4 linked regions of the Callithrix jacchus genome follow. The protein of the gene in region 3 purifies or fractionates together with the protein of the main gene of each other region. This does not show direct contact. Links are inferred from orthologs where the notes say so. Each region holds a gene or a part of one and is shown on either strand. Other genes may lie near its edges. The genes, in order: KDM6A, NCOA6, KMT2C and PAXIP1.

Region 1 (7,218 bases), on a different chromosome or scaffold from region 3:
GCTGCCTTTTGAAAATAAGGAGGAGCAAAAATTTTCCATGTTAAAAAAGTAAAGGCAAGGAGAAATCACAATGTTGTTATTCATCGTCAGATAAGATAAATCGAACTGTCAGTTTCCTAAGATTTTGGTATCACACAAAATATAAAATGTAAATTTTGGAGCAGAATTTATTTCAGAAGCAGACTGACTACTTATGGCTTAGTATTTACTCTTAGCAACCTTATCTCTGACCCCTAGTTATTTGTAGGGGTCAGAGGTATACTGCCTTTTTCTAAGATGAAACTACCAAGCTAACAATACATTGTAAACTACAGTCTAATTGCCAAAGTAGTCATTGAAGATGAAAATTTATCTGCTGAGTAACGAGTAGCCTGATAATTCCACAGAACCAAGGCTCTGTGTTTGGAAAAATTGTGCTTCCTGAGCCCAACCAAGAATCTCATCTTCACAAGAAAAGAAGGGGAGTGGGTGAGAATAATATGTGAGAAGAGATCAAAAAGAAGGGTACAATGTGAGATAGTAAGGGGAAGCTCGAGATTTTCTTTTAAAAACTCATAGCTCAGCCACTTTTAAATAGCTTTATGACAGACAAACTTAACTTCTCTGCACTCCTGCTTTCCCATTTGCAAGATAGAGATAACCTTTCTCCACAAGTTAGGAGGCTTACTTGGCATAATGTATGTGAAATAGCAAATACATAGCTCCTGTCTGGCTATTTTTTATTTACTTTTATTATATTATTTTTGTTTGGCCATGTGTCAGGATAGTTGAGTTTGAAGTCTTCCAATGACTACAGAGCTTTAGGCAATATTTTCCTATAAGAGACCTTATTTTGAAGCCCTACTTGGAAAACTTGTTCAGTAATATCTGTACCTTTAGAAGTGTTGTATGGGACATGAGGAGGGAAAAAGAGAGGAGCAGGTACTGTTCAAAAGCTAGAGGCAGAGTCTGAATTATATTCTTCTCTCTTTTCCATGTTCTAAATTTTTACTTGCTACCTTCCCTGGCACCCTTTACAGGCATGCATACATACCACCGATAGCTGCCCTAGTCTTGACACACAACCACAGTCTAAAGGAGGGATCCCCAAGCCCTGGGCTGCAGACCAGTATTAGTCCTTAGCCTGTTAGGAACCGGGCTGCACAGCAGGAGGTGAGCAGCAGGCAAGCTGGCATTACAACTTAAGCTCTACCTCCTTTCAGATCAGCGGTGGCATTAGATTCTCATAGGAGCAGGAACACTATTGTGAATTGCACATGCAAGGGATCTGGGTTCCTCGCTCCTTATAAGAAGCTAATGCCTGGTGATCTGACGTGGAATAGTGTCATCCCGAAACCATTTCCCCCCGCCCTTCCCCCTAGGTCTGTTGAAAAACTCGTCTTCCTCAAAACTGATCTCTGGTGCCAAAAAGGTTGGGGACCACTGGTCTAAAGCATTGTTTTTGTTTCTAAATAAGTTAAATATGTAAGAATTGTTGAAGTCAAGCTGACAGTGCATCTTTGAATATGATACTTAAGGAATTGGCCTACAACTATGAAATTGATATTGTTTTATGTTTTTTAAATAAGCTAACAAGTTTTACAAAGATTTAGTCATTCCCCGCCTCCCCACCCACTGCCGGATTAATATACGTGCGTTCTAATAAATAACCATATTTTAACATAGTAACTTATAAAATAGCAAAGAAATAATAAGGTATATTAAATGTTTTATTACTTATAATTTGAATTTTAGTTGTTTATTGATTAAGCTACTGTATGCTAGGCACTATCCTAGGTGGTGAGTAGATAAGTAGATAGCAGGAATAAAATAGATAAGATCTCTGCTTTCAAGACAACGTTCAGTTGCTAAACTTTATGATATTTTCATTGTTTCCGAATTTTAGAGCTGAAAAGTGCGTTACAGATCATCTAGTTCAACCTCTCCATTCGAATGGAGAACCTGAGCCACTAAGATTCACAGGAGAGTAAGAGAATTCAGCAAAGAATTCCAAGTAATGACAGAAAACTATAAGAGAATCAGTACAAATTGTGAGAATTTACTATGTTGTTAGCATCCTAAGTATGAGTTTAGAAAAGGTATAAGAAAAGTTCAATTATGTTAATATGAATGAATTCTACTGTTACCTTCAAGATAAAATGAAGACATACTTTTTTCTTTACTATTATAGTTAAATGAATATCGTATCCTCTAGTAACTAAATTCATAAATATATTTTCTGCTTATAGACTTGAGTTTCAAAAGCAGCTGTACAGATGATGCTGTTAATGAGTGTTTAGGTAGCGCTGATAAAAAAAATAATGTGCCTTCCTGCCTTATTAGAATCATAGCAGTTCAGACCTGGAATTCACACCCCTTATTTCAAGGATAAGGCAATTGACTCCCAGAGAGGTTAACTGACTTGCCCAAATAAGAGCCAAAATTAGCAACTCACATTTTAAGCAGGGAGTTAGTTTTTATATATTAAGACGATTATATGTTGATATCCAATATCAATTTTCTCAATTTTAAATGTTTTAATAGTTTTCAGGCCTGCTGAACATTGGCTTTTTTTCTAAATCTGAGAATAATTGATAAATTGATGAAAGAAAAATTATGAAATCATAGACATTAGAGTCAAGTCTCTTGGCATTATTTCCAGTTAGTATATCTTTTATGCTAAAAATATTCAATATTCAGTTGCTGGTCACAAATAATTTCTCCCCCACAATAGGTATTGTCTTCTAAGAACTCTGAAGCAATGCCAAACATTGAGGGAAGCTCTCATCGCTGCAGGAAAAGAGATTATATGGCATGGGCGGACAAAAGAAGAACCAGCTCATTACTGTAGCATTTGTGAAGTAAGTAATTGTTCTTATCCACAGTTGTTTTATAAAGCCTCTGCCCTCTCTACTTTTGGTTTCTCTTTAGTTATTTTTTTAAAACTTGTTTATACTTTTATGCAATGCAGTTTATAGTAATCAACATTGGATTCAACTTTGTTGTTAGCCATTGTATTAAAACTTAGTGTGATAATAACAATATTTCACTGTTAATTAATAACCTTAAAAGTATCTACTACAGAGTCATTTTTGTGGTAGATCTTCAACAGATGAGAATCAGCAAGTTTAGTCTGAGATTTTAAACTGGGAACAATCTAGATATACACAGATGTCAATAAACTGGATGTGTGGTTCAGTATAGGCAGATCTATGTTCAGTCCTCTCTGGTGCAATTCACAATACATTTGTGAATCTTCTGTTGCCAAGGCTTGCAAGAGGTGTAGGAACAAAGATGTGGTGGCTGCTATGAATATGAAGGAGCTTAAATTATACTTGGAGCGTACAGATTATAAACAACTAATTATAATGTACTTGAGACTGATGAATGTGAAATTGGACTTACCGTTATAAAAACACTGAGGGGAAAAGTGACCTAATTTTTTCTTGTTGTATTGGCATAAGAATTCACAAAAGTATTAGCATTTGAGTCCACCCTTGAAAAAAAAGAGTGTATCAGTAGGCTAAGAAAGTGATGGGAATCAGAGATAGGCTGTCATGGACTATAGGAACAAGAAGAAAATGGGAAAATGGAATGGTTTTAGAAAAGATTGAATGTGTTCCAATTTGGCTGGGACACAGACTGCCAATTCTACTCATAAGTCTAGGTGGCATGTAATTTGTAGCACATCTTGAATGGTTTTAAGGAATTTGATATTCTGAGGTCATTGAAGCCATTAAAAGGTTTTGAGCAGGCAACTAAGGGTAAGATAAGTGTTTCAGGGAGAAAAGTGGTTGGAAAGGACAGCGATATAAGCTGTGACAGTGGTCTTAAGAGTTGTTATCTAGACTAGAACCTGGAAATGGGAATATCAAAGAAGGGAAATAATCTCAAAAAATATTTAGAGGGTAAAATCAGCAAGACACCTCATTAAATAGCAGAAGCAGAAGTACAAGTTGAAGAACGCTCACCAACTTTCTAGCTCAGGTCACTAGGTTCATATTGCTGCCTGTTGACAATAATGGATAACATAGTGAACTCTCTGGGATTGTAGTTAATTGTTCAAAGAAGACATGGGGTCATAAGAGTTTTCTGTCACTGAAGAAACTCAAGGATAAGTCAAAGACAGGATATTGATGGTCCATTTCAAACCTTGAAATTCTGTAATTCTAATGTCAACCTTTATTTGAAATGATTGAATCCATCGACTTTTTAAATGTTGTATGACCTAACCAAAATAAGTCATTAGGAGATAGATAGATTCCAGTTAGGTGTGTTGTTCCTTATGCTACCTACACCTTAGCGATTCATCAATCTTTCTGTAGAAGACAGAGGTATTATTTCTAAAATCATGTTGTACTCATGAATACATAAAAATGATCACTTACATTTGATTGTATACTAGTGTTTTGGATTTAAAAATAGGTTGACCTTTATCAAACTTTTGAACTGGGCTTTGCTGGTGGTTGTCATGAGTATGTCATTCCCCCTTTGATTACTCCCCTAAATATGCATTCCACCCATGTCTTTGGATTTGGTGCAAAATAAACCTGGTCTATTAAAGATTCTCAAACACAGCCATGTTTTTCTTACCACCTACTCTTAACCAGAGATCACTGTTCACAATTTCATTCAAGTAGAATTTCATGATTATACTAAAGCAGTACAGTAAATACCACCATCTCTGTTGAATACATATTTCTCTTGTATAAAACAGGTAGAGGTTTTTAATCTGCTTTTTGTCACAAATGAGAGTAATTCACGAAAGACCTACATAGTACATTGCCAAGATTGTGCACGAAAAACAAGCGGAAACCTGGAAAACTTTGTGGTGCTAGAACAGTACAAAATGGAGGACCTGATGCAAGTTTATGACCAATTTACATTAGTAAGTCAAATCAACATGTGAGTACATAGTTAACTGGGTTATGAAGCAGCAGTGTTTGTTCTGCCACCTGATAAGTAGGAGGTAATGAAATATTTTAAGTTTTCCTTTGGCTCATTACATATTGCATGAGGGTATATTCATATCTTTTCCCCCCTCCATTTCCAAGTATTTATTCCTATAAAATTGGCATATATCATTTTTACTTTTCTTTCTGGGTGAGACCAGCCTAAATGATTTTACAACAATTACATTTAAAAATCTTTGTGTGCTTTAGATAAAACACTATCATCCTTTATGTCATTTTATCTCGGTTGATAAAATGTTTGTGTATGTAGGTTATTAGAGCCCACAAAATGAATCAGTAAGTGTGCTTTTAAATACACTTCTGCTTTTAGAGCTAATTGTATTTGTTTAAAATTTTGTCCTTGCCAGAAGTATTAACCTCATGGGAATATTTGATGGAGCTTAACTTCCTGGTATGTTATATAACCTTATGAAATTCAAGTATACTTATAAATTGCACACAGTTTTTAATTTCAGACAGCAGATGCTTGGGGAAAGCATTTTACTCTAGCAGATCAATAGCTTTATGAATAGAAACACAGAGATACTTTATGAATTGTTGATTTTCTCCAGTACTTGTCTCCCACACATATGTGATCAGAAACTAACTTTTTGAAATTTTGTTTCTGATATTTTCTCTTAAATGGTCTTCAGGATTGCTGAAGAAGAAAATTATCTGGAATATGTTGAACAAAATATATTATCTAGCTGAGATAGATTCTGAAGGCAATCACTAGTGAAATTGTAATCTGTTAAATTATTTTTCAAGAAGCCCCCCCCCTTTTTAAGCAATCTTAAAAAATGGTAAACTTAATAACATTGCAAGAGTTTTAGGTGAAGAAGTATAGGAAACTGCAAGTACTCTGAGTAGGACAATGGTCTTAGACTCTTAGGAAAATTGGCCGAATGGGAGATAGTAAGGTAGGTTGTGCTTTTATGTTGTATAGCAGGCTGTTGAACTTTCTTGGGAGTTATTTCCCCTAACTTCATAAGCAAACTATATTTTTGTAGCCATGAGCTATTAACAATTTGTATACCAAAATAACCCATCTTACTTTTATTTTCAGGCTCCTCCATTACCATCCGCCTCATCTTGATATTGTTCCATGGACATTAAATGAGACCTTTTCTGCTATTCAGGAAACAACCCAGTTCTGCACCACTGGTTTTTGTAGCTATCTCGTAAGGCTGCTGGCTGAAAACTGTTGTCTATGCAACCTTCCAAGTGCGGAGTGTCAACCAACTGGACAGGAGAGAGTACTGCTCCTACTCCAGGATCTCACAAGGCTGATCAGCTGTACTTCAGAAAAAAATAATAATTTCCATGTTTTGTATATATCTGACAAAACTGGCAACATCATACAGACTACTGACTTGAAGACAACCTCTTTTATATTTCTCTATTTCTGGGCTGATGAATTTGTTTTCATCTGTCTTCTCCCCCTTCAGAATTTTCCTTGGAAAAAAAATACTAGCCTAGCTGGTCATTTCTTTGTAAGGTAGTTAGCAATTTTAAGTCTTTCTTTGGTCAACTTTTTTTTAATGTGAAAAGTTAGCTAAGACACTTTTTTACTGCTTTTATGTTTTTCTGTCTTGTTTTGAGACCATGATGGTTACACTTTTGGTTCCTAAATAAAACATTTAAAAAATTAACAGCCAAGTCACAAAGGTAATGGATTGCACATAGACTAAGGAATAAACTTCAGATTTGTGATTTTTGTTTCTAATCTTGATGTAAATTTACACTATTTATAAATACATATTTATTGCTTGAAAATATTTGTGAATGGAATGCTGTTATTTTTTCCAGATTTACCTGCCATTGAAATTTTAAGGAGTTCTGTAATTTCAAACACTACTCCTATTACATTTTCTATGTGTAAATAAAACTGCTTAGCATTGTACAGAAACTTTTATTAAAATTGTTTAATGTTTAAAGAGTTTTCTATTGTTTGAGTTTTAAAAGGACTTTATGTACAGTGCCCAGTTTTTGTTCATTTTTGAAATCTGATTATATATATTTTATATATACTTATGTATGTATATATAATATATATAGAAATCTGGATATATATGTATAAATATTTAGAACTTAAATTTTTCTCGTTTTAAGTTTCACATCTATGGTAGATTTTTGAGGTGTCTACTGTAAAGTATTGCTTACAAAAAAAGTATGATTATTTTTAAAGAAATATATATGGTATGTATCTTCAAGACCTAAAATGTCAGACTGGTTTATTGTTAAGTTGCAATTACTGCAATGACAGACCAATAAACAATTGCTGCCA
Region 2 (7,686 bases), on a different chromosome or scaffold from region 3:
AATATATAAAGAAATCTTTTGTAAAAGACAACCCAGTAAGAAAAATGGCAAACCAAGTCCCAGCATTCTCTAATCTGTGTAAAGCTGGCATTACCACAGTTGCCACGCAGTACACTCCACAACAACAGACCTTGCCATCACTGACTGATATAAATATTCAGGGGTCTATGTTATGCTGCAGGTACACAGAGCATGGGGAATCAAGCCCAAAGGGCAGAGCCAAGACGTTTATTCATTCTCCATCGTATAGACATTGGATGGCAAATTAGAGGTTGATACCCAACATTCAGACACACAGATCAACCAAAAGAAAAAAAAAAAGACACATAGATCGGGGTTGGCAAATGTTTTTGTAAAGAGTATTTTCAGCTTTGTGAACCGACATAACACATCTCTGCCACAACTACTCAACTTTGCCATTGGTACCACAAAAGCAGATATGGACAATATTAGTAAACGAGTGTGGCTGTGTTCCAATAAAAATGTTATTTAAAAAAACAGATGGTGGGCCAGATTTGACCTATGAAACAGTTTGCTGACCCCTGCCTGACATGGACAGTTGTGCTTTTTCTACACTATAGGTAGGGTACTTCCCATGTTTTCCCCTGCCTTTTATGTCTGCTGACACTTACCTCTGATTTCCTTAACCAAAAACTACACCACACTTGACAGCTTTGCAGTGGTTTCCAAAACTCTTACTCTACCAAAAAAACCCTTTCACCCTTATTATCAATGAGAATTCTCCCCTCATTTTCCTTTCATTTAACCTCTTTGACAGCCATCAACCCAGAAAATCTAAACCAGAAATCTAAAAAAGTCACCCCTCTTACCACTCACAACGTCAATCATCAACACCTGAAAATTCTAACTCCATTCAATGCCCACAGCCTCTGCCTTAGTTCAGATCCTCTGTACTTGCCTGGTCTTCAGTCTACCCTCCTTCCAAAGATCATCCATGTATCTCCTAGAAATTAAAACTCCACTATATACTCCCCCTTTTGAAGATCTTGAATGCCTCTCTCAGCTGAGGATTCAGTCCAAACTCCTTAGCAAGGTCCTTCACAACCAGGCTCCTAACATGGGCTTCCTAGTCTCATCTCTGACCATGCTTTCACACACATCCTATGCTTCAGCCACATTCAATTAATGCATTCCCTGAAAACGTGTCTTTACCTGAAAAGCCCTTCTCTCCAATTCACTGGCAAACTCCTGTATCTTTCAGGACACATCTCAGATGTCACCCCTTCACAACACCTTGCCTGATACTTTGAGCAGAGACACACCCATCTGTGTCCTTATAGCATTTAATGACTCTTCTTTGGCATCGGCCAACCTGAGCTATGATTTTCACCTGTCTACTTCACTCATAGGGCTGCATACCCAAAGTGAAATGACTGCCGTAAAGACTTCTGAATCTACTGGAGCCCAGCATAATGCTTGATACGCAGTAGATGCCTTGAGGCACAGTAAATGTTTGTTGAATGGAAGACATGTCTGGTAGTAGGAGTTGGGTTTCTTAACCTGGGGGTTCACAGACCGGAATCTATAAATAGGACTTCAGTGAGGTTTGTGAACTTGGATAGAAAAAACAAAATTTCTTTTACTAACCTCTAACTGAAAATTACCATTCTATTCAAATATGACTGTAGGTAACATACCATTCTAGTATTAGGAGTATCTGTGACTCTGTAACAATAGAAATCTCAAATATCTTTATTTTTTTGAAACAGAGTCTTGCTCTGTCACCATGCACCAGGCTGGAGTGCAGTGGCACAATTTCAGCTCACTGCAACCTCCACTTCCCAGGTTCAAGCAATTCTCCTGCCTCAGCCTCCCGAGTAGCTGGGACTACAGGCACACACCTCCACACCCAGCTAATTTTTGTATTTTTAGTAGAGACGGGGTTTCACCATGTTGGCCAGGATGGTCTTGATCTCTTGGCCTTATGATCCACCCACCTCAGCCTCCCAAAGTGCTGGGATTATAGATGTGAGCAACCGTGCCCTGCCCTCAAATATCTTTATATTATACTACAGTTGTTGCATATAATCTTAAAGTACCCTTTAAGCGCATCATATCTTTGAAATTATAATTATCGGATCCATCACTAAATATGATTTCTTAATGTGCTGATAAACAAGTATATGCATATTAGATTTTTATAGTGTAGTAATTGTATTTCAATATAATTGGTGTTCCTTATAATCCAATGTATTTTATTTTATACAATTAAAAATATTATTCTGAAAGGGGTCCATGGCACAGATAAAGTCAGGTCTTCCAGCATTAGAAAAACCCAGAAAAGGCTCACACCATGGTGGCTCACGCCTGTTAATCCCAGCACTTTGGGAGGCCGAGATGGGCAGATCACTTGAGCTCAGGAGTTCAAGACCAGCCTGGGTAACACGGTAAAACCCCATCTCTACCAAAAAGAAAAAAAAAAACAAACCCAGAACAAATGAATTGTGTTACTGTATATACATATGATATTGACGATCTTATTTTATATATAACCCTTTTGTTCATTAATTCTCTTTGATTATATGGGGCCCTGGACCTATTTTTCATGACTGATTTGCATATTTCCTTCAGACCCATAGTCCATGCAAACTTTGAATTCTTCTCTCACAGGATCCAACTTCGATGAACACAATATAGACTCTGGGTCTCTACCATTGTTCACTTTTCTTTTTTAGGATTTTGTGTTCCTTTATGATAAACACCTAGAAGAGAAGGCATCTCTTTTTTTAAGACAGTATCTTGCTCTGTCGCCCAGGCTGGAATGTCATGGCATGATCACAGCATGGCTCATTGCAGCCTTGACCTCCCAGGCTCAAGCGATCCTCCCACCTCAGCCTCCTGAGTAGCTGGGACTACAGATACAAGCCACATCAGATGGCTAATTTTTTGGCCTTTTTTGTAGAGATGGGGTCTGCCAACTCCTGGGCTCAAGGAATCCTCCCACCTTGGCCTCCCAAAGGGCTGGGATTACAGGCATGCGCCACTGTGGCTGGCCGGAGCATCTCTAAAAACTCTAGAAAGTTAGAAAGTATCAAAGATAACTTCTTTGCACAATTAGAGACGAGCCAGGAAATACCAAGTAACTGTATTCCCTTCGGCCTTTGCATTGCCAAACTCATTACAGGAACAAAACAAATTTAATTGTTCTCTGGTATATACTGTTACGCTTCATTTCTTGTTGTTTTTGTTTGTTTGCTTCTAGTTTCATCACAAGAATGTTACGCTTCATTTCTTAACACCTTTCTCCCAACCAGCAAATTCCTTTAAGGAAATGTGTTTAAACCACTTCCAGTAGCCCCTCTGCCACTAACTTATAAGATCTTGAGAAGTCAACTTTACCTTTCTATGTTTCAGCTAAAATCACTACCTGAGTTGAAATCTTTACTTGATCTCTCAGGTCTTTGTAGTTTTTATACATTCACTCTTCACCATTTTACTGGCTTCAATAACGCCTTTCTGATGACCTCTCCAGGTGACCCTGCTCTTAAGCTGTGGGCTGTCCCATTCCAGGGAAGACACCTTGGGTCACCGCCCCCAAACAGGCGGGTTCCTCCTTTTAAAGACACACACAACTCCCAAAGTTGATGTAGGTTTTCTCCTTTCTTGCCAACCAGTTCTACTCTCTGTACCTCTTTTGCTGGCCAGCTTGCACCCAAACCTCAGTCCCCCTGTTCTCTCCTCATCAAACACCTTTTTCCTGTTGCTTCCCCCAATAGGGGGTGGAGGATCCTTGGGACAGAAGTCTTCAGAGCCTTGTGAGTTACACAGCTTTGCAATTCAGTTCCACTACCCCAAGGACTGCCCAATCTGATACCAGCGTCTGGATCCAAAGGGCCCTCATTTCTCATCAATCGCCTCCGTCCTTTCCCGCAAAGAACTGTTCCAGCCCTGACAGCCTGAGCCTGACCCCAAGCCTCCACCCCAATCCCCAGATCCTACCAGCACTAGGGCTCTCTATACACCGCCTAAGGCCTAACCCAGTTCCACGTCCTGCCATCCTTTCAGCCCTTGGACCCCAATCCCGGTTCCTTTCGGTCCCGGTGTTCCTTCTCGGCGACCCTGACTACGACCCCACGACCCCACGACCAGCTCCCGCCAGTTCCCCAGGCCTGAAGCGCCACCCCGTGCAGACCCCAGCCAGCCCTGCACTCCCTCAGTGCACCGGCCCCCGCGCCCAGCACCCTCCCCACCCCGCCGGGCCACCGCTCCCTCCAGCGCCCCCGCCCGCAGGCCTAGGGCCCGCTCCCCAACATGGCGACTGGGACACCAGCGCGGCGGGCGGGGCGGCTCCGGGCCGGGCCCACACTCGGACCGTGCAGCACGGTCGCCGGGCGCCATTTTCCCGCGCCGGGCCCGGGCGGCGCCTCCTCCCAGCAAAGCCAACCCGACCCGGACCGCGGACGCCCGGCGGGCCCACCCCTTACGGGCCCGCGCCGCCGTTGCCTCACCTGAGCGCGGCCCCGGCCCTCCCGGGCGGGCCTTGGAGCGCCGGCCCGGGCCGTGCGTGCCCGCCGCCCTCCGTGCGTTCGTCCGTCAGTCCTCGCGTGCGCCCGTCTGTCCGGCCACCCGCGCCCGGCCGCCCGCAGCCCGACCCGGCAGGGCCTCACGGAGCCGGCGGGGAGGGGGATGGGCCGGACCGGGCCGGGGAGGGAGGGGGAGGGAGGGAGAGAGGGAGGGAGCGCGAGAAGGGGCGGGGCGGACTCGAGGGGCGGGGCATCGCCCATGTGACCAGACGTTCCCGGGAGCGCGAGGTGGAGCGCGCGCCAGCTCGCTTCGGTGCTGAGTGCTTAGTGCGGGTGTATCGTGGGTCTCTGTCGACTTCCCAGGGCTGTTCTCCCGCCAGTGAGTCCCACTTCGGAAGCACACACGGCACAACGTTTTGCGAGCGCTCTGGCTAAGTACCCTTGGACGTGGCAACTCCAAGCCTCAGTTTACCTATTGAAATATGGAGAAATTCATAGTGCTTGTTGAAGAAGAAATGGCGGGGGGCATGGAAAGCACTTATCGCAGTGCCTGACACATACTGTCTAATAATAAGCTTAATGGGGATATAGATAGAAGCTTTCATTATTAGTTGCCTCCAAATCCCTCTCTTCTTTTTCCCATCATTACCTCCCTAGCAAGCGAAATGCTCAGTTAATAGAATTCTTGATCGAACAAGTGAGTGTGGCCCCTCCCCTCTTCCCAAATGTAGAAAGGCCTCCTCAGCACTGGACTTGATGTCTGTCATTCAGGCCTGCATTCATATCTGGCTTTCACTCTTTTTTTAAATTTTTTTGTTCTTTTTCCCACACTACACTGATGTATTTTTTTAATTTTTGTGAGTACGCAGTAGGTGTATATATTTATGGGGTATATAAGATTTTGATACAGGCATGCAATGCATAATAATCACATCATGGTAAATGGGGTAAATGGGGTATCTAGCACCTCAGCATTTTTTTTAAAAAAGATGGTGTTTCACCATGTTGGTCAGGCTGGTCTTGAACTCTCGACCTCAGGTTATCCACCCACCTCGGCCTCCCAGAGTGCTAGGATTACAGGCATGAGCCACCGTGCCTGGCCGCACCTCAGCATTTATCTTTGGTGTTACAACCCAGTTATATGCTAGTTATTTTAAAATGTGCAGGTAAATTGTTTTTTTACTATCATCACCTTCTTGTGCCGGCAAATACTATGTCTTATTCATCTTATTTTTTGTAACCATTAATCATTCCCATTTCCCAGCCACCTCCCACTAACCTTCCCAGCCTCTGGTAACCCTCCTTCTACTCTGTATCTCCATGAGTTCAATTGTTTGAATTTTTTGCTCCCATAAATAAGTGATCACATGGGAAGTTTGTCTCTCTGTGTCTGGCTTCTTTCATGTAACAAGGACCTCCAGTTACATCCATATTGTTGTAAATGGCATGATCTCATTCTTTTTTAATGGCGGAATAGTATTCTATTGTGCACATGTACATTTTATTTACCTATTCATCTGTTGATGGACACTTAGGTTGCTTCCAAATCTTGGCTATTGCGAACAGGGCTGCAGTAAACATGAGAGTGCAGATATCGCTTCCGTATACTGATTTCCTTTTTTTCTGGTGTATACCTAAGAGTAGGATTGCTGAATTGTATGGTAGCTCTATTTTGGCTTTTGCTCTTGATAGCTACCCTTCCCTCTCTGAACTTCAGCTTCTTCATCTGCAAAATAGGAGTTAGGGGGCTGTTCTGAGCATCACAGGAGATGGAGGATGAACAGGAGGATTGTAAACTAATTAAACAGGTCAGTCCTACTGGTCCCATTAAGGAAAGGGAGTCAGGAACCCTTTCATTCCATAAATATTTATTGAGTACATACTGTGTGCCTGGACTGGTGTAGTAGATACCCACCATCTTTTCACATCACCCTGACTGCCCTCTAATCTATTCTCCACGCTGCTGTCGCAATAATGTTTCTAATGATCAGAAATCTGATTATGTCACTACCCTACTTAAAAGTATCTGATGATGGCCAGGTGCAGTGGCTCACGCCTATAATCCCAGCACTTTGGGAGGCTAAGGCAAGTGGATTGCTTGAGCCCGGGAGTTTGAGACCACACTGGGCAACATGTCAAAATCCTGTCTCAACAAAAAATAGAAAAACGGCTGGACTCAGTGGCTCACACCTGTAATCCCAACACTTTGGGAGGCCAAGGTGGGTGGATCACCTCAGCTCAGAAGTTCGAGACTAGCCTGGGCAACATGGCGAAACCCCATCTCAACTAAAAGTACAAAAATTAGCTGGGCATGGTGGCACACACCTGTAGTCCCAACTATTTGGGAGGCTGAGGCATGCAGCCAGAATCACTTCAGCCGGGAGGTGGAGGCTTCAGTGAGCCGAGATCACACCACTGCTCTCCTGCCTGGGTGGCAAAGTGAGACCAAGTCTCAAAAAAAAAAAAAAAAAAAAAGACAAAAACAAAAATTAGTGGGCATGGTGGTGCACACCTGTGGCCCCAGCTACTCAGGAGGTTGAGGTGGGAAGATTGCTTGAGCCCAGGAGGTTGAGCTTGCAGTAAGCTGAGATGGTATCACTGTGCTCTAGCCTGGGCAATAGAGTGAAACCCTGTCTCAAAAAAAAAAAAAAAAAAAAAATCTGATGGCACTTCATTGTTCTTAAGATAAAGGCTAAATAAATGTTGTGCCCCTCACCTCTCTAGATTTATCCCCGGGCCCTCTTCCCCTTTCTCTGGGTTGGAACTACAGTGACATTTCTTACACATTGTTCTCCCTCCCTTCTAAGCACCCTTGCACATGCTGATCCCCCTGCCTCCAATGCTCTCCACACTTAAATAACTCATCAGCCTTCAGAATCCAGTGCAAACAGGGCTACTCCAAGGATACCTTCCCAGACAGGATCTCTTAACACCATGTACTTGTCCTTAATAGAAGGTACCAAGTCATTATTACCTGTCTTTGCCACTGGACTATGGAAGGAAACCTCATCCATTTTGTTTACTACTGTTTACTGAGCACGTAGCACAGTACCTGGCACAGAGTAGGTGCTCAATAAGTATTTGTTATGTTTGTGACTTCTAAGCACCATACTAGGTATTGGGCCCAAGAGGGCAGAGAGGAGCAAAGAGAACCACAGGCAACCCAACAATGGGGCACCTTAGACCTTTGAGCCTATGGAAT
Region 3 (7,835 bases):
ACATACTCTCGGCCGGGCGTGGTGCCTCACACCTGTAATCCAAGCACTTTGGAGGCCAAGGCAGGCGGATCACCTGAGGTTGGGAGTTCAAAACCAGCCTGACCAACATGGTGAAACCTCGTCTTAAAAAATAAATAAATAAATAATAAAGAAAGAAAGAAAAGAAAACAACTTACTCTCAAATATTAGAAATTCCCATGAACGAGGCAACAGTAAACTACAGTAAGGTCAGGTTAAACAACCTCCTAACAGTAAGAGAGGGTAGCAATCCTGAACCAGCTTTTTCAACTGAATTAAAACATTTCAGTGCCTACTAAGTGCCAGAGAACAATAACTATTAAAACATTTCCATTTATCAAATCTTTTGAACAACAAATTAAGAATTGCTATCATAAAAATTACAAATTTGCATTATCTCAACAACTATAAATAGTGCTATCTCTCAGCTATAAACTTGTTTTATTAAACAGCATATATAGTAATGCAGTACAGTTTTCTGTCACTTATTTCAAATTCACAGCTATGAAAAAAAGAATCTGCCAGCTGCAGTGGCTCACAGCTGTAATCCCAGCACTTTGGGAGGCCAAGGTGGGTGGATCACCTGAGCTCAGGATTTGAGACCAGACTGGCCAACATGGTGAAACCCCGTCTCTACTAAAAATTCAAAAATTAGCTGGGCGTGGTGGCGGGCACCTGTAATCCCAGCTACTCGAGAGGCTAAGGCAGGAGAATCATTTGAACCCGGGCGGGGGGGGGGGAGGCAGAGGCTGCAGTGAGTGGCACTGCACTCTAGCCTAGGGGACAAAAGCGAGACTTCGTCTCAAAAAAAAAAAAAAAAAGAAAGAAAAGGAGAAATTTTGTTGGGGGCAGGGCCTTACAAATACAGGTAGCAGCCTGCTGCATAGCCATTTTTGCTGGTCCTTGCAATGACAATCACTGAAAACTTTCAGATGAATGTACCTAATTTTTCTACAACAATAATCCCTAAGGTGGCTCTCTAATAATAGCAACTGCCCTCTGAAAAGAAAGTGATTCTGGGTATAAAGAGTTTACTCAAAAAGGGTCAAAGATAGTGCTTCGAAATTCTATCCCTATCACCTGCCGCTTCTGTACACCCACGCCCATCCCCCACACCCACCCCACTTCTAACATCACCTTTGATGAGCTGGTAAGAAATATGGTAGAGCAGAATGTTCCGTTGGCTTCCCAACTTACAGAGTAAGGAATTTACAGGGTAAGGATGGAAAAAATAAGATCAAAGCTTCAGAAAAAGGTTTTTTAACATTAACAGAACAATAATCAGATCTTTAATGTGCATATTCTGGCAGAGGCTTCTTTGCCAGACCTGTGCCTCTGATAAAGATTATGAACTACTCCAAATAATCAAATAATTTGATAGTCTTTACAGTTAAGGAAAACTTTCAGATGAATGTAAATTTCACTGTGCCACTTGACATTTGTACAACAGAAAATCTCTATTTACATACTTACCTTTCCAACTCTAAGATTAATAGCTTCAGTTCAAATTTCTTGATTTTAGACACTAAACAAAATTTTAAGTTATATTAATATAAAAGCAGCAACTATATAGCTAGTTTTTTTTATATGTGATAAAACAAACAAAAACAATCTAGCTAACACTACAAGACAAGAAAATGCTTTATTTACCTAATTATTAAAAATTCAAACTGGAGAGAAGCGTAATTGGTGGTGCATGTTTTTTTTAAGCCAAAGATAAAAACACAAATCCACTTTAGTGTCAAAAGGCATCTTCTCTACTTAATGTAACTCACTAAGTTAATGAACACATAAGTAACACTAACAACTTAAAATATCTCTATGATACTTAACAAAGAATATTAATTTTCATATCTCAGATGAATTACTCGCAATTTCACATAATTTCACTGGTTACAAACCTAATTTACACTGGTTACACATAAGTTTCACTTTCAGGGTCTTTACTACCCAATTAGAAGGTTTTTCCTGCATGGACTCTAACATAGTGTAGAGATACACAATTGAAAAACCTTCTCTTTGCTTTCCAATTCATATGTTAGTTTCCATTTACATGTTTCTAAAAACTGGGGATTCCATTCCCTTCAAAAGACATTTAATTAAAAAAAAAAATGCTCTGAAAAGTTTGGACCCGTCAAATTTACCAGTAGACTTTCCTATAAAGAATGCAGTACAAGTTTTCAAATCTAAAAGGAAACACTCAAGACTTACATTTGTTCTAAATATTTCCAAAGTTCTGATGTTTCAGCGTTATGCCGTCCTTCAGCAGAAATTTTACCTTCTCCAAACACTACCTATTTCTTCATGAGATTAAGAATTAAAATAGGCCAGGTGCGGTGGCTCACGCCTGTAATCCTAGCACTTCGGGAGGCCAGGAGTTCAAGACCAGCCTGGCCATCATGGTGAAACCCCATCTTTATAATTTAAAAAAAAAAAATTTAAAATAATAAAGTGGAAATACCCTAATCGTCCGGTGCACCCAGGAACTGCACTAATACAAATGAGCTCGTTTCAAAAGTAGGATGTGTGTTTGAGTGTGCGCGCGTGCGTGTGCAAGTGTGCGTGCACAAGCACGCCCTTACATGAGTATGGGGTGTGGAGTGTGACAACACAAATCTACTCTTTCTAGAGTAAGAATTCAAATGCAAATTTAAAAACAATAATCTCAAATTAATGTTCAGTAAGAGATGAAGAAACGGTTTTCAAATAGTGAAATGGGAGACAATCGAGGTAAAATCCCAAGATGGCTTGTCCTGAGTTCCTTTAAAGGATACCAAAAAGTGGCTTAGACGTCTACAAATTACTTTAAACCTCCACTTCCTTCTCCAAATTTCAGTTAATATAGAATAAGGGCATTCTATACCTGCCATTACATTACAATGCAAGCGGCCTAATAAATAAACCCTAACTTTGTATCACAAAGAAGCAAATGTAATAATGTACACACATCCTGTACTTGCTTCCCTCACTATTATCATAGCTAGGTAAGAGCTGGCAATGAAATATGGAGGCAAGCTGAAGGGCCTGAATCATTTCCATAGTAAAAGGACGTAGGGCAAGAAAAGAGCACATTCAAGTCAAGTGCTTAATAGGTTCCCACAACCCAGCTCTGTTATGCCTCAGTTCACGCTACTATTTTTACTACAAATCACCAAACAACAACAGTATTACTAAGTGAATGCACCCGAACCAAAGAAACAGCCTATCCATAAACGTGCTGGCTTCCTTCACGTCCCAGCGCACCCTTCCACTCCCGACAGTTCAATGAGAATACCGTATCATGAAATGAGTAAGCACACACGCCATTCTACAACTTCGAGAGACATTCACAGATCTTCCACGGCACACGCAAGAACCACAGAGGCCGAGCAGTTAGTTCACTGGCACTGAAACGGGTTTCTTCATTGACAAGCAAAGCCGTCCAATAACCGCTCTGTACAAAAACATTTCTGGTCCTCTAATAAACTGGTCCACCCCTACTGTATGCTCGAAAGCACGCCAACCTTTTTCCAAACCCCTTACAGCTAAGACTTACTAGGGAAGCGACATTTACATCGGCACTCTTTCCGAATAAAAGTGCTCCGTATTCTGCCTTACGAGGGGACACAGGTTACGTCTCCAAAACTTAGGCAGGCCGTTCCCCGAAGCTGTGGGATCCCACAGGAGTTGTGCTTTCGGAGCCCGACAGTGCGGTTCGGGGTGTCGAGGGAGTGGGGAGGGAGAAGTCAAATGGCTTCCTAATATATCAAAAGAAGAAAACACAGGTTTGGGACCAGGAAAAGTTCCAGGAGCAGGTCTCTGACAAAGAAAAGCCGCACTCGCCCGGCCGCTTTCTTCTCGCTCCCAGCCCGCGCCCCGAGACCACCTGGCCCGGGCGTTTTGACAGCTCCGAGAGTTTGCCGAGCGCCGACGGCTCGGCTGTTCGCCCGGAGTCCGTCCGGGGACAACCTGGGCGCGCTCCGGGTTTGTTTTCTCAATGATCCAGCTAGGCCAAGACGCGGCTACGAGAAATTTCTCCAAGAGAAGAGTTGCGGAGAAGACCCAGCGAAAAGGCCCGACTGAAAAGTAAAGTGTGCGGAGCCCGGGCGGGCGGCGCGGAGCGGGGGAGGCCGGCCGCGGGCGGCCGCCGAGGGGCGCGGGGCCAGGGCCGGGGCCGGGAGCCGCCGCCGCCCGCGGGCCCGCCCCGCCCCCACCCCGCCGGGGGGCGCCGGGGCGCGGGGGCCGCGGGGCGGGCGCCCAGTGACAGCTCCGGCCCGGCGCCGCCGCTGGCTCCCGGCCTGGCTCCCTCGCACTCAACTTACTTCTTTCTGGCTCTCTGGAAAGGGGAAGCGCCATCTTTGCGAGGCCGGCCCCGAGGTCTTTTGTCTGCGGCTGCGGGGCTCGGGGCCGGGGCTCCGGGCTCCTCGGGGGGTGGTGGCGGCGGCTGCGGCTGCTCCACGCTCTTGTCCTCCTCCGACGACATCCTAGTCACCAGGAAAGACACATGGATCCCGGTCCTCCTCCTGGGGGGCTCCTCCCGCCGCCGCGGCCGCCGCCGCCGCCGCTGCTGCTCGGGTTCCTCCTCCCCGGCTCAGCCTCTCGCATTTCCCGCAGCCCCGGGAGCAGCAGCAGGTACCGGGAGAGGCGGCAACATGGAGCGAGCAGGACACGCACTCACACACATCGGCGCGGGCGCGCGCACCTCCGCGCGCAGGGGCCGGGCGGGGGGCGGCGGGCGGGGCGGGCGGTGCGGGGCGGGCGGGGCCGACGGGTGCGGGCGGGCGGGGCGGCCGGGCGGACGGCGTGGGGGGCGCCGGCCCCCGGGGTCTCCGCCCGCGGCCCCTCCCCTGGGCCGCCCGCGGCGGGAGGAGAAAGGGGCCCGGTGCGGGGAGGGCGGGCCGCGGGGCCCGGCGGGGGCGGTGAAGGGGTCGCGCCCCCGGCCGGCCGCCCCTCCCCCGCGCGTCAGGCTCGTCAGGCCCGGGCGGCGGCGGCGGCGGCGGCGAAGTTTTGACAGCTGCTCCAGTGGCGGCGCTGGGCGCCGGGGCTGCACGGGCGCTGGGCCGCGGCTCGCTCCTCACACTCGCTCTCTCACACACGCTCGCTCGCTCTCCCGGAGCAGGGGAGGAGGAAGTTTTACGGGTGTGCGTGGACCCCACACACACGCCGCGCGACCGTGGCCGCCGCGCGAGGCCCGCGCCGGGGCTCCCCCGGGGCGACCCGCACCACAGACCTCTCCAACTCGCCACCGTCGCGCCCACACACCGCCGCTTCGACGGCCCCCGCCCGCTCCCCCACTCTCGGCCCCTCGCCCGCCCCCCGCGCGCCGCCGCTGCCACTCACGGGGCTCGCTCCGCGCATGCGCCGCTCTCGCCGCCCGCGGACGCGCCGCCGCCGCTGACCTCACCGCCCCTCCCCCCCGGGTTCCCTCCCCCTGTGACGCGGCGGCCGGGCCCAGCAGCGACTCCGGCTCCGACTCCGGCTCCGGCTCCGGCTCCGGCTCCGGCTCGGGAGGGAGCCAAGCTGTGGACCCAGAGATCCGGGATCGGGATCCGGGGACTGCGGGCGAGGGCGGGAGGGAGCGGCGGACACACGCGGAGGTGGCCCGGGGTGCAGGGGGCAGCCCGGCGCGGGGAGCAAGTGTGCGCCCGCACGGCGAGGTCAGCCCGGGCTTCGCCGGTTCTCGCCGAGGTCTTTCCTCGTAGCGCCCACACTGCGGGGAGGAAAAGGAATGGAGTCAACTTCGACCTAATCCAACACCAGTTAGAGTTTCATTATTATAACGTCATTTTTTTTTTTTTAATCCAGAAAAGGTTCATAAGGATGTAAGAGGGAAAGAACGATGGCAGCTCCAGAAATAAAACGGTTAAAGACAAAAGCCGATAAAAACCCAACCTCTCGGTTTTAACGTTCAGTGTGTTGTGATGAAGAGGCAAAAATCGAAGTATTTCTAAGCTTCTTCTTATAATATGTTAAAATGGTAAAAAGAAAAATGGGGCTAGAATCCTCCTGAAAAATGTACTTTCTCAGGAAGGACAGTTACAAATACGGGATTCCGGATTTCTCAGGCGAATACTAACACTTGGACGTTGATCTATTCTGTGCTTACCATGCACTATCGATTAGTATATGGGAGTGAAAAAAGTCTAGATGTTAATTAGGGGGAAATATTAAGACCTATCAACCATTTGTGAGGGATTGGGGTAAACTATCATTTAATAAGCATCTACGTTGGGCCTGGCATTAAGAGGCACACTCTCATCCTGATTTCATCTTCACAATGCAGTTTCAGTGTAAGGTAAAAATAATAGACTCCTTCTCCAGCGGTGTTGTTTGCTTTCCCTTACAGTAGCTAGGATGTTAACTTCACCCTGTGTCTTCTACTTGGGTAAAATATACACACTTTGATTCCCAGAGCCTATTCTAAATGAAAGCATAATTTTTTCAAATGGCTGAAATAAGGAACAAAGTCAGAGAGTCATTTGAATTCCTTTAGGGTTTAATCCCTGCTGGCTCTTTCAAATTTGCTAAATTTATAACCAAAGGAAGTTTGGGATTGAGGAGGAGGCTGGCATGGTAAATGCAAACTACAAATTAGCAGGGCGTGGTGGCTCACGCCTGTAATCCTAGCACTTTGGGAGGCCGAGGTAGGTGGATCACCTGAGGTCAGGAGTTCAAGACCAGCCTGGCCATCATGGTGAAACCCCATCTTTATAAAAAAAAAAAAAAAACTACAAAAGAAATTTTTTTTACAAAACTACAAATTAAAAGTACATCACTATTACACATAGAAATACAACATATACATGACTAGTGATAAACGTAAGATGTGATATATTGAAAGTTTACTAAGTACAAATAGGACAGCACCCTTTCTTTTTTTCATTTTTTTCAGCACATTATACCTTAAATAAAGTACGCTTTCAAAACTGGATTATTGATCAAAATGTCCATGTGTTCCATACTGAAATAAAAATAGGCGCTTTCACTGTGAGTTTCACATGCACAAAATTACACATCAATGTAGTTTACTTTGATACGCTTCTCCAGCACTTCCGAGAATTTCAGTGTCAGCGCGTACAAACTGCAAGTCACTCCCACTGGAGAGTTCACAAGAAGCAAAGGGACTAAGAGCAAAAAAGTGAGCCGCGTGAATGGAAGAAACAGAGTGGAGGGTAGAAACAGAGGTCCATGCAGCAATGTAGAGATGGGGGTCTCACTGTATTGCCCGGTCTAGTCTCTACCGAGTGGAGGGTAGAAACAGAGGTCGGTGCAGCAATATAGAGACGGGGGTCTCACTGTATTGCCCAGGCTAGTTTCTACCGAGTGGAGGGTAGAAACAGAGGTCCGTGCAGCAATGTACAGATGGGGGTCTCACTTTATTGCCCAGTCTAGTCTCTACCGAGTGGCAGGTAGAAACAGAGGTTCGTGCAGTAGAGATGGGGGTCTCGCTGTATTGCCCAGTCTAGTCTCTACCGAGTGGAGGGTAGAAACAGAGGTTCGTGCAGTAATGTAGAGATGGCGGTCTCACTGTATTGCCCAGTCTAGTCTCTACTGAGTGGAGGGTAGAAACAGAGGTCCGTGCAGCAATGTAGAGATGGGGGTCTCACTGTATTGCCCAGTCTAGTCTCTACTGAGTGGAGGGTAGAAACAGAGGTCCATGCAGCAATGCTTCTGGAAAGATGAAGATGATGCAGGTGAGTAAACCCAGCCTTAAATCTCCATTCCTTTGGCCACTGTGAGCAGGGAGTTGGGATCTGTTTTAAGAGAATTGATAGCAAGCTCCTTGGCATGAAGTTATCATGAGCAGAGCAAATAAAATGTAACCCAGGATGCTGAGG
Region 4 (7,921 bases), about 2.6 Mb from region 3:
TCTTTTGAACATTACAAATTGCTTTCTTAATTCACAAAATAAAATACCTAGTTGAAGTCCACTTCAGGCCTTTTAACATAAAATCACCTACTTAGTTTGTGTTTAACCAAGAAAAACAAAAGGACAACCAGGCACCATGGCTGACACCTGCAACCCCAGCACTTTGGAAGGCTGAGGCAGGCGGATCACGATCGAGGTTGGCAGATCATGAGTCAGGAGTTCGAGACCAGACTGGCCAACACAGTGAAATTCCATCTCTACTAAAAATACAAAAATTAGCCGGGGTGGTATGCACCTGTAGTCCCAGCTACTCGGGAGGCTGAGGTAGGAGAATCGCTTGATCCTGGGAGGTGGAGATTACAGTGGGCCGAGACCACGCCATTGCACTCCACGGGTGACAGAGTGACACTCTGTCTCAAAAAACAAAAGACAAAAGAAAAACCAAAAGGATAAATAAGTTCTCTCACACAGAAAGGATAAATTAAGTTTTCTCACACAGGTCAATAAAAAGGCATGATCTGTATTTGGACCTACAGTATTTATTACACTGGTATGTTCCCAACATAGAACATAAAACATCATAATGAAAATATATGCCAGAATACATCAAATATATTCTTAGGTAATAGAAGGTTTCCCGATTACAAAGGATGTCATACAAATTTAAGGATGGATGATAAATTCTTGGTTTTTCCTTCAGGCAAGCACTCAGTGTTTTTAATTACAGGTTGAGTAAGCTTTATCTGAAGTGCTTGGGACAAAAGTATTTCCGTTATTTTTGATTTGAAATATTTGCATGTATGTAATAAGGTATCTTGGTGAAGGGACTTAAATCTAAGTGGAAAATTCATTGGTTTCACATACACCTCACCTCACCCACATAGTCTTAAGGTAAGGTTATATATTTTAAATGATTTTGTGCATGAAACAAAGTTTTGATGGCATTTCTTAAAAAAATGTTTTCGCTGTTTTTTTTTTAGAAAGGGTCTCACTATATTGCCCAGGCTGGACTCAAACTCCTGGGCTTAAGCAATCCTCCTGCCTCAACCTCCCGAGGAGCTGGCACTACAGGTGCCCACCACACCTGGTTGGATTGTGATTTGACTGTGAACCAGTCGTCATGTCAGCACTCAAAAAATTTCGAATTTTAGAGCATTTTAGATTTCAGATTTTCAGATTAGGAATGCTCAATCTAAATTTGTAAAATAAGTTTTTGAGCCTTAGAATTTCAGATTGTTCAAGAGACAAATGAGAAAGACAACAACAACAACAACAACAAAAAACAGCAAACACTGGAATGATAAATCATTAAGTATATTTAAACGTGTGGTTTACCTTCTGCCTGTACGAAACCACTCATGACATACACACAGATTTAAAGACAAAACTGTATTCGCCTGATTAACAACAGATCGCATGTTGAGCAATGAACCAACACAACTTTTATCATACATTTAAAAAAAATGGTAGCACAAAGGCCAACATAAAGCCTGGAAAGTGATCTAATCTGTTACGTTAGTGTACCACAGAGGAATTCTGAAAGCCTTCTCTTTTGAGGCTGTCTAGCTGTCGCCCAAGCTGGAGTGCAGTGCCACCATCTCCGCTCACTGCAACTGCCCCCTTCCGGGTTCAAGCATTTCTCCGGAGTAGCTGGGATGACAGGCGCCCGCCACCACGCCAGGCTATATTTAGTAGAGACGGGGTTTCACCGTGTTGCCCAGCCTGGTCTCGATCTCCTGGCCTCGTGATCCGCCCGCCTGGGCCTCCCAAAATGCTAGGGTTACACGTGTGACCCACCGCGCCCGGCCCCTTCTTTTTTAAAACCAATTTCACTACCGTTTACTTAAAAATGGTTTTCTCCTTGGCAGTAGTGACTTCGGGTCTGTGGGGAAGACACCGCGGTCCTGGTTCGGAGTAATTTAACAAGCAATGCTCCAGTTCTAGGACCAGGAAATATTCCGACAATCACCCGTGAGTTTCTGGTCTCCGGTTTGCTGTGAGATTGGAAATCAACGTCGTAAACGGCCGCGTTCGTCATCAAGGCCTTATTTCTTCCCCCGACTTTCGGTGGCGCAGGTGTCTCGGGCAGGTGACCCCGAGGCCACTCTGCCGCGTTTTGGGAATTTTGGCGGAAGGGAGGCGAGGTGTAAATAAAAAAGCACCAGCATTAGAATCGCCGCTGTGTAGCATTAACCCGCCGAGCGGGGCTTCCTGGGGCTGGAGGTGCACCGCGGGCTCTGCCGTCTGGGACTCTCCCCGAGCGCGGAGAGGACGCGGCGCCAGGGACGAGGCCCGGCCCTTCAATACAGCCGGGCCTCAGGCAGTGGCGGGGCCGGGCGTCCCCAGCACAGGCGCCGAGGCACTACTCCAGGTCCGGCCGCGCTCTCGGCAACTGCGAACAGCCTGCAACACCCAACCCCACTCTGCCCCGGCTCAATGAACCCAAGGAGGCCGCAGACCGGATCCGGATCCGGATCCGGATCCGGACCCGCTCCCGCTCCGGCGCCGGCTCCCGCTCCGGCGCCCGGTCCCGAGGCCCCGCCCCTCCACCGCGCGCATGCGCCGCTCTGGAGCAGCCGCGTGTGGTGACGGGAGGGGCCTGCCTACTCCCCTCCTTCCCGGGACCGGCTCACTCCGGCCCCGCCGAGGGGGGCGCGTGTTTCCCCTCGTCCCAAGAGCCCCCTTATTGCAGAGCGGTGGCCACGGAACCGCAAGGTTTGAAGCTAGTCCATGGCTCTCAGTTCCCCGGGGGCCGTGGGCGGCGGCACAGGCGCGGGGCGTCACCGGCGGCCGGGCGGCTCCTCGGCGCTCCCCCTCGGCGGCTGGGGCGGGATGGTGCGTCCCGCAGGGCGCGCGCGGCTCCCGCGCTTCGGGCGCTCGGCGCGGGCGCGGGCGGGGGCGCGGAGGGCGGGGGAGCGGACCCCGATTCGCAGGACCCGGCCCGGGCCGCGCGATCAGGGCCGTTGGCTGGGCGAGCGGGGGCGCCGGGCGCCGTGGGGGCCGGGGACGGGGGGTGGGCGGGGCCGGGCGCCGCCGCGGAGCCTCCCGGGCCGCCGCGATCATGTCGGACCAGTCGCCCAAAGTTCCTGAGGAGATGTTCAGGGAGGTCAAGTATTACGCGGTGGGCGACATCGACCCGCAGGTACCGCGCCCGCGCCCGCGCCCGCCGCGGCTTCCCCCCGCGTTCGCGTCACCGTCCGTCCCCGCTCCCGTCCCCGTCCCCGCTCCCGTCCCCGTCCCCGCTCCCGCTTCGGGCGCGCGCTGGGCGCAGAGCGTCGGGTCCGGGCGCAGAGCGTCGGGTCCGGGAGGCCTGACTGCGCGGAGGGCAGGGGCGGCCGCGGGGTGGGCGCGGGAGGCCGGGGCCCGGGGGAGGGAGGGCGGGAGGGGAGGGCTGCCGGGTCGGCGGGGGCTCTGTGCCTAGGCCCCTCGTGCGCGCCCTGAGCCCCGGGCCTGGGGCCCTGAGGTCGTCGCCCCCCACCCAGCGGGCCCCCTTGCTCTCTGCTCCTTTCTTGAGGGTGACTGGCGCGGGGTCGCATCTCCCCTGCCCCGCGTCGGGTGTCGCGGCTCTGAGGACGAACGAGAGGTTGCGGGGATCCCCGGCCCGGGCAACTCGCGCGGGGCTCCCAGGCTCGCTGGGCCGGCGGGGGCCGTGTCCTTGCCCCGGCGTGGCCGCCTCCGCCGCCCGGGCAGTTGCGGTTCTGTGCGAGGCTGAGGAGCGCTCCCCTCCAGCCTGTGTCCTTGCACGTGGGGGCTGGCATTCGTCTTCCTTGATTTTCCCAGTTGGATGATTAATTTTATGGTGCCCTGGTAACACCATCACATTACACATTTAATTTTGTGTAGTTTGGGCTCATGCCAAAGGATACTGTGGGTTTTCCTTCGTATTCCTGTAATAATACATCTGTTTGATGTCACACAGTTATCAGCCCGTGATAGGAATGCATCTTAGTTGAATATCCTCTTCAGGTTAATCTTCAAAATATTTCCTTCGTAAGAGTTTAACTGTACAGTTTTTTTTTTTTTTTAATGTTGCCTTGGGGGTGACATCAGTGGCGCCCACCTTGCAGGATGGGGATGCCGTGTGAACAGTTAGGCCTGGAAGGTCGGAGACTAATATTTAGCAAGTGAACTTGGATGGAGTAGAAGACTGATTGGTCTTGGCCTTCTTGAGGTTCGTCCTTGTATCTTAGTAACTACTTTCTTGGATCCTTTTTGCACTGCAACTTTAGACCTGGCGTGGTTGCTCAACGCTTGTAATCCCAGCACTTTGGGAGGCCGAGATAGGTAGATCACCTGAGGTCAAGAGTTCGAGACTAGCCCAGCCAACATGGTAAAAACCCATCTCTACTAAAAATACAAAAATTAGCCAGATGTGGTGGCAGGTGCCTGTAGTTGTAGCTACTCGGGAGGCTGAGGCAGGAGAATTGCTGGAACCTGGGAGCCTAAGGTTGCAGTGAGCCAAGATGACGCCATTACACTCCAGCCTAGGCAACAACAGCGAGAATCTATCTCACAAAAAAAAAAAAAAAGAGAGAAACTTCTTGCTTTTCATTTAAAGAGTAAAACGGTTGCTGAACAGGGAGTGATCCAAATGAGTGCCTGTAACAGTGTTATAACAGTGTTAGCTTTTTCCAGTATTGATGATAATTTCCCGTTCCCCCCAACTTTTTTTTTTTTGCTCTCCACCATTTTTCTCTGCCCCCTCCTTCCTACCCTTCCTGTTTGATTGTAGGACTTTGGCTCTTACAAGGCACTTGAACCAAATTTTACTTAAAACCTGGAACAAGTTGAACTGGAATCATATTTACTCAACTGTAAATTAAATCTACGTGCTTAAAAATGTCCTTGGGAAACCACTTTCATCTGAAAGAGTATATTTTCTGAAATGTTTAGAGCCTGGATATCTGATTCTCTGAGTCTTCTGACTGTGGATTGTAAGTTCACATGTTGACCATCTAGTATGAGGCAGGCATGGACTGAGTGGAAGGTATAACATAAAGGTGAAGAGGACATGGTACCTGCCCTTGAGCATCCCTCATTGTTCGGAGAGGGAACACACTTGGACACATCACAGTACAAGGGGTAGCAGATTTCTCCCCTGGGGTGCAGAGCAGGCACCACTGAAATGTCACTAAGTAGATGTCATTTCACTTGGCTTTTGAGATCAGCAGAAGTTGGGAACATGAAGGAATATTTTCCCGTGGAACATGTGTACTGAGGAATGAAGGCATCGTGCATTGGGAATACATCAGGATAATCACTATATGTGGAACAGAATGACATGAGATAAATCTATTAAGATATTCAGTAGTGTGGAGATTGAAAGAAGCGCTTGGTTTTGGCATCCTCAAAGTCTGTGAAAACCGAATAAGTATTTTTGGTAGAGTGTCGGTGGAAGAAGCTGGTTTGCAGGGAGCTGAAGAGTGATTGGAAACTGAGAACAGAAAGGTTAGGCTGTTTAAGGAAATTTGCCCTGAGAAGGAAACAGAAGGTGACCGAGGAAGAGAGGGCTGGGAGGGATCTGTGTTGCATCACAAGCACATGGGAGGATGTGGGAGACTCACTGTTTACAGGTGGAGGGAGCATAGCTGTGGACAGGGAGAGACTGAAATATCGAGATAGGCTCAGAAAGACTGGAGGGCAGGAAAAGGAGGTGCCTTTTCACAGACAAGCCGAATGGATGTGTGAAGCTAAGGGTGCTTAGAGGTCAAGGGAAGGAGTAAAGGGAAGTGGCCTGTGGCCAGCGATCGTTGTTTTTCACTTATTAAATACTGAACCTCTGCCCTAGTTCATGTCTGTTAGTGCTCAGTATAGTATTGTGAAAAGGTTGCCTAGCTTGAGGGTCACTTTATTTTATTATTATTATTATTTTGAGGTTGGAGCAAAAGTTTTCTTTGTTTTTTGAGATGGGGTCTTGCTCTGTCGCCCAGGCTGCAGTGCAGTGGCACGATCTCAGCTCAGTGCAATCTCCACCTCCTGGGTGCAGGCGATTCTCCTGCCCAGCCTCTGGAGTAGCTGTGATTACAGGCACCCACCGACATGCCTGGCTCATTTTTTTTTCTTTTTTTTTTTTTTTGAGACGGAGTTTCGCTCTTGTTACCCAGGCTGGAGTGCAATGGCGCGATCTTGGCTCACCGCAACCTCTGCCTCCTGGGTTCAGGCAATTCTCCTGCCTCAGCCTCCCGAGTAGCTGGGATTAAAGGCACGCACCACCATGCCCAGCTAATTTTTTGTATTTTTTTTTTAGTAGAGACGGGGTTTCACCATGTTGACCAGGATGGTCTTGTTCTCTTGACCTCGTGATCTACCCACCTCGGCCTCCCAAAGTGCTGGGATTACAGGCTTGAGCCACTGCGCCCAGCCGCCTGGCTAATTTTTGTACTTTAGTAGAGATGGGGTTTCACCATGTTGGCCAGGTGGGTCTCGAACTCCTGACCTCAAGTGATCCGCCTGCTTCAGCCTCCCAAAGTGCTGGGATTACAGGTGTGAGCCACCACACCTGGCAGAACGAAAGTTTAATAAGTGAAGGAAGAACGCTCTCTGCTGCGGAGAGGGGACCTGGAAGAGCGTTGCTCTTGTTGGTTACTTGAGCTTTTGGGGTACCATGTCACTTTCACACTTGGTATACATTGTCAGCTTAGACACTAGCCACCTCCTCTGAAGCACTTGACTCAACTTTTCCTTCCCCCTCGTTTCCTTGGCTTCTGTGGACGCTCCTCTCCTGTAATATGTACTTCCCCACCTGATCCACTCTCTGGCCCCCCTCCCACTCTCACCTTCATGCTCATGGCTTTGGCTCCCGTCTCTGTAATATCTGATGGCTTTTTGTTAGGTGAGATCTTCTTCCTTTCCTAGCTGCAACTGGATGCCTGTTGCTGGATATTACACATGCCCCCTGCAGAACAGTGCCCACACTAAAACACGTTCCTGCATCCCCCACCTGCCGCCCTTCTGCTATCTTCCTTAGTGAGTGGTCCTCTTATTCCCCCACCATTTCAGTCTGGACTTTGCTCTTGTGCTTATACCTCTTCTAGACACCAAGGCTGGCTGATTCTTTCTCACCTTCCTCCTTTCTGCCCCTCGTGACATCCCTTTAGTGGATGCCTCTTTGACCTGGGTTATTGCTCTTGTTTCTTAACAGGCCTCTTTAGTCACCCAGCCAGCCAACCCAGTCCATTCTTTTCACGCAGTCATCTTTCTGTGAAATCTGTGCTACTTTTCCTGTGTGAAATCCTTCAGTGTCCCTGCAGATACCCCAGAATGAAGCAGACGTTTTTGCATAGGGTGTTAGAAAGCCCATTTATGGTCTGGTATGTATTTACCTGTTAGGTGCCTTCAACGCTGACCCCTCCTCGGTGTACGAAGTTTTGCCTGACACCCAGACGTTCACAAGGGTTCTGCTCATTATCTCCTCTTTCAGAATCTTTCCTTAATTGTGGTGAAACTCCCCATGCCCAGCCTTTATGTTGGAAACCCAGGAGCGCCATGTGCGTGGCCCTGCCACGGCAGTGACTGTGCTGTGTCCTGGTCTGTCCAGCCCATGTGTCTTGAGGACACACCATGTCCAGTACTTGACTCACAATAGCCTCCATTACTTGGTCAGTGAATCAAGATTTGCTGCCTTTTATTGTCCCCAAAAGTTTCATTGGCATATTATTCAGAGTAAAAGGCTGTTAGTTTTTATGTGGGAAATACGGTGTATTTTATTAAAAATTTCCATTATGCCCAATAATTATTTATATAAATCAAGAGTGCAGTGCAGTACTGTCTATTTTAACTTGTGTGGGTTTTCTTGCTTTTTAGGTTATTCAGCTTCTGAAAGCTGGAAAAGCAAAGGAAGTTTCCTACAATGCACTAGCCTCGCACATAATCTCAGAGGATGGGGACAATCCAGAGGTTGGAGAAGCTCGGGAAGTCTTTG

Evidence for each region.
Region 1: the proteins of KMT2C (region 3) and KDM6A purify together in Homo sapiens (affinity purification with mass spectrometry; 3 studies listed by BioGRID and IntAct, with this or other methods). This does not show direct contact. The link is inferred for Callithrix jacchus from reciprocal best matches to the Homo sapiens genes KMT2C and KDM6A.
Region 2: the proteins of KMT2C (region 3) and NCOA6 purify together in Homo sapiens (co-immunoprecipitation; 7 studies listed by BioGRID and IntAct, with this or other methods). This does not show direct contact. The link is inferred for Callithrix jacchus from reciprocal best matches to the Homo sapiens genes KMT2C and NCOA6.
Region 4: the proteins of KMT2C (region 3) and PAXIP1 purify together in Homo sapiens (affinity purification with mass spectrometry; 4 studies listed by BioGRID and IntAct, with this or other methods). This does not show direct contact. The link is inferred for Callithrix jacchus from reciprocal best matches to the Homo sapiens genes KMT2C and PAXIP1.

Annotation. Positions count from the first base shown.
Region 1 is NC_133524.1:46,020,039-46,027,256, forward strand, and holds the end of KDM6A (lysine-specific demethylase 6A), read left to right. Parts: intron 1-1,885; exon of another isoform or gene 1,886-2,030; intron 2,031-2,713; coding exon 2,714-2,840; intron 2,841-4,696; coding exon 4,697-4,867; intron 4,868-5,299; coding exon of another isoform or gene 5,300-5,308; exon of another isoform or gene 5,309-5,343; intron 5,344-5,997; coding exon 5,998-6,027; 3' UTR 6,028-6,868; downstream 6,869-7,218. UniProt on the Homo sapiens protein: Histone demethylase that specifically demethylates 'Lys-27' of histone H3, thereby playing a central role in histone code. Demethylates trimethylated and dimethylated but not monomethylated H3 'Lys-27'.
Region 2 is NC_133506.1:4,478,394-4,486,079, reverse strand, and holds the start of NCOA6 (nuclear receptor coactivator 6), read right to left. Parts: upstream 4,665-7,686; 5' UTR 4,470-4,664; intron 1-4,469. UniProt on the Homo sapiens protein: Nuclear receptor coactivator that directly binds nuclear receptors and stimulates the transcriptional activities in a hormone-dependent fashion. Coactivates expression in an agonist- and AF2-dependent manner.
Region 3 is NC_133512.1:95,794,051-95,801,885, reverse strand, and holds the start of KMT2C (histone-lysine N-methyltransferase 2C), read right to left. Parts: upstream 5,370-7,835; 5' UTR 5,338-5,369; exon of another isoform or gene 5,228-5,337; intron 4,701-5,227; exon of another isoform or gene 4,482-4,700; 5' UTR 4,481-4,481; coding exon 4,320-4,480; intron 1-4,319. UniProt on the Homo sapiens protein: Histone methyltransferase that catalyzes methyl group transfer from S-adenosyl-L-methionine to the epsilon-amino group of 'Lys-4' of histone H3 (H3K4).
Region 4 is NC_133512.1:93,193,787-93,201,707, forward strand, and holds the start of PAXIP1 (PAX-interacting protein 1), read left to right. Parts: upstream 1-2,888; 5' UTR 2,889-3,061; coding exon 3,062-3,142; intron 3,143-7,803; coding exon 7,804-7,921.